Caenorhabditis elegans: one gene and its partner. The protein of the gene in region 1 purifies or fractionates together with the protein of each later gene. This does not show direct contact. Each region holds a gene or a part of one and is shown on either strand. Other genes may lie near its edges.

Region 1 (4,922 bases):
ATGAATGCACAGCAAACTCAGCAACAGCAACAGTATTATGGAAGAAAGAAGTAATAATGTTGATGCTCATATTGTTCCATTTTAATATTCTTGCCTCAATTGTTTCAATAAAATGTTCCATATACAAGAAAAATCACTTTATTCCAAAAATATTTAGCAATTCTTTTAGAGTTTTTTAAACTTTCAGAACACAAATGCAAATCATATTTGACAAAAATTAAAAATTAATTTCCTATGATAACTTAGATACAAACCATGTGGAAAATTTTGTGTTTATTATGTTTTCTAGATTTTTGTTGTTTCCGTTTTATGTTAATAGCCTACATATGTTTTTGCGGAAAGCATAAAACTTGTAGTGTGAAAACAAAACGTGAAAATTTAGAAAAACTCTGATTGCTACCCGAATACTTCGAAAATTTCACACAAATATTCGAAAAATAACTTGAATATCCTTTTGTATGTGTGTTGTTGCAATAAATCTTCCCGATTGGAAATGCCTGCAGAAGCAGCATCCGAAAACGTGGCACTGGACAAAAATCTGAAGAAGCTGATCTCTTGGCTAACTCCGTCGAGATGTGTTCCCATACGTTGTAATGGGCGGATAAGAAACAACCGACGGACGGGTCCCACGACCACACACACCATACTCACCAACACCGCCATCACCAACAATTGGCGCCTTCAATGTGTCTAGAGTACATCTGTTCTTAATTTTTCTTCGACTCTTTTTTTCGATACCAGACGGATAATTTTGAATGGTTGTTTCAAACAAAGAGAATTCAAATTTTTTTGAGTGATAATTTTGAATTTTCATTAGTTACCATTGCTAATTCTTCAATAAAAATTACCTGGCGTTCCGTTCACACAGTTGAATAAAAACTTTTTTCAAATTTCAAGTAGGAAATTATCATTCATTGTAATTGGTTTTTAGATACTCATTCATTCAACAGTGCGTTTTTACAAGTTTAACGCTAGTTGATTTCCTGAAACTTCTGATTTTGATCTGAGAAAAACAAGTTTTTAATAAATTTTAATCCTTCCCCTTTCAATCATTTTTATCAATTTTTTATCAATATACACGAGATTCAATTAACTGATCACTTTTTCTCGGCTTTCTTCTGTTCCCACAATGATCTGATGCTCCTGCTCCATTTTGTTCTCTATCCATCACCTCTTCCTTCGCCTCTCCGCCCGCATTTTTGTGTTGTTGTTCTCTCTATCTCTCCTTTCCTGCTTCATCCCACTTCTTGATGTGCTTTGGCTCAATGTTTTACACTCTTCCTTCCGAAGCAAGAGGAAGATGAGAGAGGATCCCCAGTCAGAACGTGTGTAATAGTAGGAGAGCACCACAGAAAGTTGGACAACCTTAGGAGTGGGCGGCACTTTTTATACTAATTTTTTGTACTTACTTATTTTTATGCTTGGATATTATTTTTCTTGGAGTATTGTATGTAAACTAAATTAACTATACTCCAAGTTTTACAAAGAGACACCTATTTTGAAGTCCGACTAAAAGAAAACGTATGTCTAAATTTTAAACATATTTTGATAAGTCAGAACAAGCGGTTTTTTGTTTTTCACCCTGCTCCCTTCTCTTCCAAATTTTGCCATCAACAATTGCCAATTGTTTGGAAAGCCATCCCAGTTTTCAGCGTTCTTGCTTGATCCATCATCCTTTCTTTCTCCGGTTTTCAGTTTTTGAAATCTTTTAAAATGTCAGATTACCGTATTTTTGTTAGTAATATTGCCCCGGGGTGCTAAACTCTGAGATTATATTACCTGTTGACACTGGATCTTGCATATTTCTCCAAATTTAACAATCTCGCTCAAATCATGTTAATTTTTTTTCAGTAACCAATAAATTTTCCAATATTTCAGAAAGATCACAATACCATCATAAAATGGCGCCAGGAGGGGCGCCGAATGACGCCAACCTCAGCGCTGTAGCGCAAAGAGGACATAGTGAAGAGGGTGATAAATCAACAACAACACTATCAACAATTGCTGTAAAAGCTGGTGTCAATGCATCAATTGTAGTTGCACTTTTAAAGGTTGAAACTATTTTTATTAATTTTTTAAACCTAAATTCTTTAGAGTGCTGGTTATATCCAACTTCGTGTTGATGAAATGCAGCCGAAGCTACTTTCGATAGGAAATTCATCACAAGAAGCTAGAGATTTGCTCAACATCCATGATGATCTCATCAGAAGGCTTCAAGTGAGTTTCTGTCAAAAGTTGTATTATAATATATTTCTACTGTTCAGGACAAAGATGACCAGGTAGTAGCTCTCTTGAGTCGTGCCGACAGCCTCGGAGCAGAAAAGACGAATCCGAACGAAGCGATTGTTTACGACGAAATGGCGAAGAGTTTGCGGGAGGTTTGTATGCATTTCGGTTTTTTTAGTATTCTTACCCAGCTGCACATAAATCAGCCCATTAATCTGCGTAGTGTAGGAATCCAGACGGAATGCGTTTTCATGTTTTTAGTCTTCAGTACGACCTTAAAAATGTCGCATCTTCAGACGTGGAGATCGTTGAACAGACAACTTCTCCTCAGAGGATATATGCTCAGAGAGACTGTACAGTTTTATACATTGGCTGAAAGTCATGAAAAGGTTAGTTGATTTTTGAAACCGTTTTTTATTGTGATTTTATTAACTGCAGTTATCCAATGCTAAAACTATTGAAATTGTGCAACAAATCAACGAGCAAAACTCTCAACAACTTCAATCATCCATCGATAAGCTTATTAATGGTAAGCTTTGATTTTATAATAAGAAAAAATAAATCTGAAATTTCAGACATCATTGACACAACTGCTTCTGTAGTAGATTTGGGATCTTCCGTCATTTCACAAATTCGTACATTGGGACAACTTGATGACAATCCAGAGAGACCACAAGAGATTTTAGATGCATCAGTAAAAATTGAAAGTGTTATGTTGAGGTAAGCAACTTTTTAAAACCTAGGAATATAGTTCTGCAACTTTTTTTAAAGATCTAAAATTATAACATTTTATTTAAAAAGTAAAATTGAAGAGTTGCTGCTGATTGGGAACGATCCGAAGGACTTTGGCAGCAGCGAAAGTCGGGAGCAACACAACAAAATGCTACAACTACAACAGAAGATGAACTCGTTGTTATTGAACAATGGCTAACTTATGCGGAAAAGAAAGTCAAAGCTCTCAACGATGCTGGACAGAAAAATGTTCTTACTGAAGGAAATGTGGGTTCAATTTTATGTACCTGAAAAAGCAATTACACATTTCAGAAGCATGTATCCCGTCTTCGTCACCTAGCGCAGAGTCCATCATCAGACGGGGGACGTATTTCTCATCTTTCCGGTAGAATTGAGGAATTCCTTCATTATCTGAAAACCCGAATGAATCGATCACATCGAATTCACGCTTTCCTTCAAGCCGCAAAATCGATGGTATCTCAGTTGAATATGATGGTTGAAGACATGAAATGCGCAAATGCGGCTATGGCTGGAGAGCTAGCACCTTTGGCAAAGCAGAAAGCATCTCCTCTTATCCACGAAGGAAAGGATATCGCTTGTAAGTTTTCTAAAAATAATTAACAGGTCAATTATCAATAAAAAGAATCGGTAAAAATTATTCTTGCAGCAAAAGAAGTTCTGAGCTACGAAGAACAACGACTTGTCAAGCAATACGTTGAAGATTTGTCAGAAAAGTTGCGTGAGATAGAAGCTCTTGCAAAGCAAAGGAAAGAGTCTGGAAAGACGACTTCTCATGTACGTTACCATTAATTTATAATAACTTCAAAGGTTATAATTTCCAGTTCTCAAACATCCAATCATGGCTGGATGGACAAGCTTCTGCATTCTTAGCACAGAAAGGTGATATGGGTGGAAATTTGAATGATGCTCGTGATTTCGTTGTCTCTCATAAACAATTTGCAACTGAAATCGTCAACCGAGACGCTGACGTTATGAGTCTTCTCGCCAAGAAGCCACAAATGTCTCCAGATGAAGAACAACAACTGACCGATTTTATGAAGAAGTATGAAAAAATAAAAGACATTTCGGAGAACCGAATTCAAATTGGCTCCACTTACGAGCAAGTTCACAAGTTTGGAAAAGACCTTGAAGGTTCATTTGATGCTCTTCAAACACTTTTGGAGAACAATCAAGAATATACAAATGAGAAAGTGGCGGCACAAATTTCCAACGTGTTCCAGATGATTTTAGAAACTTTGAGTCAAGAGAAACATCAAGGTTTGTTACCATAATTTGGTTGGTATTTTTAAAACGTAATCTTTCAGCTGAAAAGTTCATATCAAATGCAACTCAAATCGGAAAATCAGACGAGTGGTTGAATATCCAAAGAGCTCAAGAAGCAGTTCGCAATATGATTACCGACCATGAGAACAGATTCAAATACGTTCAACACAAATGGACTGAGTGGCAGAGAGATAAGGTAAATCGATAAAATGTAGGATTTGCAAAAGTAATTTAAAAATTTAGAATGTACAAACCAAAGTTGAAACTGTAATCGAAGAGATTCAAATGTGGCAGACAGATGTTTTAGAGTTTATTGGAAAGGTCGATAACTCAACGGTCACAAAGAAAGAGGTATTGAATAATTTTTCACTGTAATTTGGTAGATTATTTATTGCTTCAGGAAGTTGAGGAGATTCAGAAGAGGATTGCTTCATTCAAAAGTGCTGCTGATATGCATAAATCAACATTAGAGACATTGAAAGAAGAAAACCAAAATGAAGAACAAATCAGTAGAATCAACGTTTTAATTGATAAAACTGATTACGTCAAAACACGGCTTGATCAGTTGAGCCAGAAAGTTGAACTTACCTCTTTGCTCAAAATTGTGGAAGATGTGCAAATATGGCAAGAAGAAATGGTTGAAATAATAAGAAACATGAATCAAGTTGTCACTACTCAAT
Region 2 (5,860 bases), on another chromosome or scaffold:
CAATATGATAAGATCACTGCTACGGCGACCTGTTCATCCCCAAAACTGTTCTTTATTCTTTCTAAACGAATTTTGGTCGTGATCTCTGTAAGCCAGAGAAAAATGGAGAAGTAGGTCGTTTTCCTGGTTATTTTAAGCGGTTTATTTCTCAAAAAATTTCATTTAGTACACGTGGTGCCAGGCTGTCCCATAAAGGCTTGATCTACAAAAAATGCGGGAATTTTTTGCCCGGAAAAAAGTGACGTTAGCACATTCTTAACCATGCGAAATCAGTTGAGAACTCTGCGTCTCTTCTCCCACATATTTTGTAGATCTATGTAGATCAAACCGAAATGAGACACTCTGGCACCACGTGCGCGCGCAAATGAGGAAAGCGCTGACCAATCAGCGAATGACAAAATGTGCTGATTGGTCGGCGCAGCCTTGGTTTGCGCTCGAATTTAAAATAGAAAACCTAAATTTTTTCGATTTTCCAATATATTCCGAGAAAAAAAAAATTTTTTTCCTTTTCAAAATTCCTTTTTAGAATTAGAAAATTGTAAAATGTTCTGTTAATTTTTAAAACATTTTTTTCGAATTATTCCGATTTGCTGTTTTTTCGGCAAATTCGGCAAATCAGCAGTTTGTCAAAAATAAAAAAAATCAGTTCCAGCAATTTGCGGAATTGCCGATTTGCCGGAAATTTCGATTCTGGCAATTTGCCAATTTGCCGGAAATGCCGATTTGCCGGAAATTTGCCAGAAATGCCGATTTGCCAATTTGCCGGAAATGCCGATTTACCGGAAATTGTAATTCCGGCGATTTGCCGATTTGCCGGAATTTTCAATTCTGGCAATTTGCTGATTTGCCAGAAATTTGGGAAACGACAATTTACCGGAAATTTCAATTCCGGCAACTTGCCGAATTGCCGATTTGCCAAAAATTTCAATTCCGGCGATTTGCCAGAAATTTGTCAAATTCCCAATTTGCAGGAAATTCCGGAAACGACGATTTACCGGAAATTTCAATTCCGGCAATTTTCCGATTTGCTGTGAATTTGCCGAAAATGTTGATTCACCGATTGGCCGGAATTTTCGAATCCGGAAATTTGCCGCTTTTCCGGCAATTTTCCGATTTGCCGTTTTTCGGCAAATCGACAGTTTGCCAAAAATAAAAATAAAACAAATTTTAATTCCGGAAATTTGCCAATTTTTCTCCATCAATTTTTCCCGGTTTTTCGTTGTTAGTTTTTTTCGGGACTACTATAATAATCCCAAGTCAACTTTTTTCCTTCAGTTTCTTGATAAACGTCTTCATCTCTTCATCTATATTACAATTCACTCTCTCTTTCTCTCTTTCTCTCATATTCTAACACTATAATTCTCGAAACAAAAACTCGGGTCGTTTGGGGTCGAATCTGGTTTATCATTCGTCATTAATAGACGACTTATGTCTTCAATTGCTTCCTCATTTACAATATTTTCTTTCTTTTTCCTTTTTTCTCTCTCTCTTCAATCTTCTTCTATTTGTTTTCTTACTTTTCCTTCCATTATTTGCCAACAATCCCTGCCAACCAGTCCAAAACCCATCACCTCTCCTCATTTCTTAAACATATTTCCCCAATTTCAGAGAATGTTCGGCTTCTTGTTGGGTACACTTTGTGTTTCTCTAGCTATTCTTGGAGCACAATCAGCTAAATGCACAGCTAAAAGTGGAGATATTAGTGCTCGGTGGCAGGTGAGTCATTTTGTTTGAGCACAACTCAAGTGGTTTGTTTAAACTGATTCTTGGTGCCAATCGTTTTGAACAACTATTATGGGTACACAAAATTCTGAGAATGCGTACTGCGCAACATATTTCACGCGAAAAATATCAAAACTACAGTAATCCTTTAAGTGGCTACTGTAGCGCTTGTGTCGATTTACGGGCTCAATTTTTTAATTTATTGAAAAATGTAAATTATTGAAATGATGTAACTTTTCGAAAAAAAAAAATCATTTCGAAAATCGAGCCTGTAAATCGACCTACAGTAGTCATTTAAAGAATTACTGTAGTTTTGATATTTTGCGCGTCAAATATGTTGTGCAATACGCATTCTAAGAATTTTAGTGTTCCCTTAATATATTTATTGAAAAACTAGAAAAAAGAAAAAGGCATGAAACTTTAGGGAAACGTTAGAAAAACTGAAAATGTTTTTTTAAAAGAATTAATTAAAAATAAAATATACCTTAAAATGTGCTTTTTGAGAATAATATCGTTATTGTGATGTTTCAATGACATTGAAACAATTTTCATTTTATCTGAAAAAATTTTAAAAAATACTTTTTTTTGAAAAATTTCAAAACTTTTCAGTCAATTTTTTCGCCTAAAACAATGACCATCCTAACACTTTGGAGGTAATTTTTGATTTTTTCTGCAAAAAATCTGAAAGGCTACAAGAAACATTTTTTGAAATGTTGAAATTGTGAAATTTCAGAAAAAACTAAAACTTAGAAAAAAATTTCGACTGGAAATTTTAAGCCAAAAATTTTTTTTTCCTTAAAATGGCAGAAAATAACTGGTAGGTAGGCATGAAGTAGGCAGCTTTACCCTACCCCCCAAAAAATACGGTGGCCGAGTCTTTTTTTTTTCTCGGCCACACTCAAGGTCATTTTATCAGATTTTATCAGGCCAAAGTGAAAACTGCGCAAAAATATTAGGGTTTTTTTTTCTCTGAACAAATCTGGTTTCTGATATCAATACTAAATAGTTTGCAGGCCCTGTGTCTTGTGCAGTGATTCCTTGAAAAAAAAATTGCGCGTAAGATATAATGTTTTCAGGTTGTGGATGGAGAATTAACTGTCGAAGTTACCACAAAAAACGTTGGAAACAATGAATGGTCAGCAGTTGGATTTGGACCTGATATGGTATGTAATATTACTTTCCCCTACAAACTACAAAAACTACAAACTCCAATTTGCAGAGCGATCTAATCGTTGTCATTTTCCAAGTGGTAGACTTTAAGCCAAGCCTTGTGACTGGAACGACTCAGGGATACGGAGCACCTGCACTCGATGCTTCTCCATCTGTCACTCTTCAATCTCTCGATTATAACAGTGAGTTTAGTACGCCGTGGCCTAGAAAATCAAAAACTAGGCCAAGGTGTCTTTTTCTAGGCCATGCCTTGTCTTGTTCTGACCAAGATTATTACGGGGACACTTACTGTCGAGAATGCGTACTGTGCAACTTATTTGACGCGCAAAATATCTCGCAGCGAAAACTACAGTAATTGTTTATCTGACTACTGTAGCGCTTTTGTCGATTTACAGGATCTCGATTTTTTTTTGTCATTTTTATGCTTAATTTTAAAATTCTATCGATCGATCCATTCAAAAATCGAGTTCCCGTAAATCGACAAAAGCGCTACAGTAGTCGGATAAACAATTACTGTAGTTTTCGCTACGAGATATTTTGCGCGTCAAATATGTTACGCAATACGCATTTTCGAAATTTAGTGTTCCAGTAATACCTTTAATTTAAAACTGTCGGCGGCAATACATCAAATTTAACGCGCAATTTTTTTTTAATTTCATCCGCCAATTTAAATTTGCGCGTAGAATCTGATGTATTGAATCGTTATCGCCAAAATGTACAAACACCGGCTACAATGCATCAAATTTCACGCGCAAAACTTCAATATTTGAATTTGCGCGTAAATTCTGATGTATCAGGTCATAGCTGTCTCTTCACTCCAAAACACCATATTTCACGCGCAAATTTATTATCAAATTATGTTTCAGGCAACACCCTCGTGGCTCGATTTGCTCGCCCAGTTGGCTCCCTCTCCACATGCACAACATGGAATGTAAGTTGACAAAAAATATCACTTCCCCCCCCCCCCCCCCACTTCTACCGTAACCTGTCCACCTACCTCCTCATAACACCCTGTTACAGTTCGTCACCGAAGGATCCATCGAAGACGGATCAATTGGATATCACAATGCTGCTCCACACACTGTGGAAATTTGTGCCAACAAGTGTACCCGCAAGATCTTTAACTAACTTCTTTCTCTCTTTTGCTCACTCCATTTTTATAATAATTTGGGATTCTGTTTTTGCTTGGAAAAATAAAAATAAACCTATGGCTTTGCTATCCAGGAACTCTCGGGTATACCAGAAATGCAAGAGTGCTCTACTGACAAGTGTTCTGTGTAATCCACGTGGAGAAAAATAGAAAAAAAACCCACAAAAATGACGATTTTGATTTTTAAAAAATTTCGGAAACACGGGGTTCTGGCCTTCCTCATTGAATTTTTCGCCCTCCATTGACAATCCTGCCGGACAACGCGTGGGAAAGCCGTGTACTCCACACGGACAAATACATTTAGTTTTACAACTAAAACCGAGCCGCGACGCGACACGCAACGCGCCGTAAATCTACCCCAGATATGGCCGAGCCAAAATGGCCTAGTTCGGCAAACTCTTCCATTTCAATTTATGAGGGAAGCCAGAAATCCGTAACGGAAACTCTGAAAAATTCGATTTTCCCGCCAAAAAAACTTGCGTGTGAAATCCGATGTATTAACTCCGCCCCTCTCAATGCACCATACTTTACGCGCAAGTTTTCAGTTCTTCAACGCCCAGCCATTAAATGGACCATCTGTGTCGAACCTCGGCAGCCCGGAAATTCAATTGACGGTATTAAAATTTTCATTTCACACGTGGTGTCAGAGTGTCTCATTTCGGCTTGATCTACTTAGATCTACGAAAAATGCGGGAACAGAGACGCAGAGTTCTCAACTGATTTCGCATGGTTAAGAACGTGCTGACGTCACATATATTTGGGCGAAAAATTCCCGCATTTTTTGTAGATCAAACCGTGTTAGGGCAGCCTGGCACCACGTGATTTTAACATTATTTGACATGATTTTCTTACAGGACGTGTGCCCGAATGAGTGTACAGGAGTATTTACGGAACGCGACGTGGCATATGATCCAGTACCACAGGCTGCCATATATAATAATAGAATTTCGAATCGATTCAACGGAATTTTTGATCCATCGGCTGCTTTTTAAAAATAACTTTTTTTCTTCTTGATCTCGTCAATAAATGTTTTATTTTTATTAAATTCGATATTTTTTTCAGAAATTGGAGGTTAAAAAAACTTTTTTCTAAAATTTTTAAATAATTTATCGCTTTTTCTTATATAAAACTTAATTTAAATGGTCATTTTATTAATATATTCGCAAATTCAGATAAACTATTTTCAAATTTCGCGGTCTGTGCATTTTGACGTGATGGTGTTGACGTACAGGTTACTGTAGTCACTTTTCTTCGTGGGTGGTCTTGGACCACCGATATTTTAGGCCAATCATCGATTTTTTTCGCATTTTTTGAGAATAATTTGATTTTTTTTTCAAATTAAATTAGTTTTAAAATTGAAATTTCAATTTTAATATATAAAATTCTTAATTTTTCATCTGGAAAATGAGAAAATTAGTTATCTTCGTGTGTGGTCTTGGGCCACCGAAGTTTAGGCCAATCAGCGGATTTTTAAATTTTTCGTGTTATTTTTTACATTTGTGTAAATATTGATTAATTATTTATTAAAATAATTTTGAAATTAAAATTCCAACTCTAAAATATGAAATTGTTAATTTTTCGACAAGAAAATGATTTTTCTTCATGGGCGGTCTCATTTCCACCAATTTTCTTTCCTTCTTATATGAATTATAATTTGCGAAAAAGTTAAACTCTCTTTTTAAATTAAGTGTTATTAAATCAATTTCAATTGAAATTTTTATCTCTGCCGTATTGAATCTTCACAGAAAACGCGTTTTCTTCAGACCTCCCACGAAGAAAAGTCAATTTTTCGAAATTTTCCCATTTTTCAGAGCTTAA

What was found.
Region 2: the proteins of F21C10.7 (region 1) and Y54E10A.17 fractionate together in Caenorhabditis elegans (co-fractionation; one large-scale study listed by BioGRID). This does not show direct contact.

The regions. Positions count from the first base shown.
Region 1 is NC_003283.11:9,110,889-9,115,810, forward strand, and holds the start of F21C10.7 (Ig-like domain-containing protein), read left to right. Parts: upstream 1-1,878; 5' UTR 1,879-1,901; coding exon 1,902-2,051; intron 2,052-2,094; coding exon 2,095-2,217; intron 2,218-2,264; coding exon 2,265-2,378; intron 2,379-2,522; coding exon 2,523-2,615; intron 2,616-2,664; coding exon 2,665-2,755; intron 2,756-2,801; coding exon 2,802-2,946; intron 2,947-3,038; coding exon 3,039-3,225; intron 3,226-3,270; coding exon 3,271-3,556; intron 3,557-3,625; coding exon 3,626-3,753; intron 3,754-3,800; coding exon 3,801-4,236; intron 4,237-4,283; coding exon 4,284-4,438; intron 4,439-4,485; coding exon 4,486-4,593; intron 4,594-4,642; coding exon 4,643-4,922. Other genes in the region: pqn-31 (Prion-like-(Q/N-rich)-domain-bearing protein), read left to right, coding at 1-54.
Region 2 is NC_003279.8:3,205,193-3,211,052, forward strand, and holds Y54E10A.17 (DOMON domain-containing protein), read left to right. Parts: upstream 1-1,569; 5' UTR 1,570-1,611; coding exon 1,612-1,716; intron 1,717-2,798; coding exon 2,799-2,885; intron 2,886-2,941; coding exon 2,942-3,074; intron 3,075-3,758; coding exon 3,759-3,823; intron 3,824-3,912; coding exon of another isoform or gene 3,913-4,020; exon of another isoform or gene 4,021-4,587; coding exon 4,588-4,656; intron 4,657-4,896; coding exon 4,897-5,034; 3' UTR 5,035-5,080; downstream 5,081-5,860.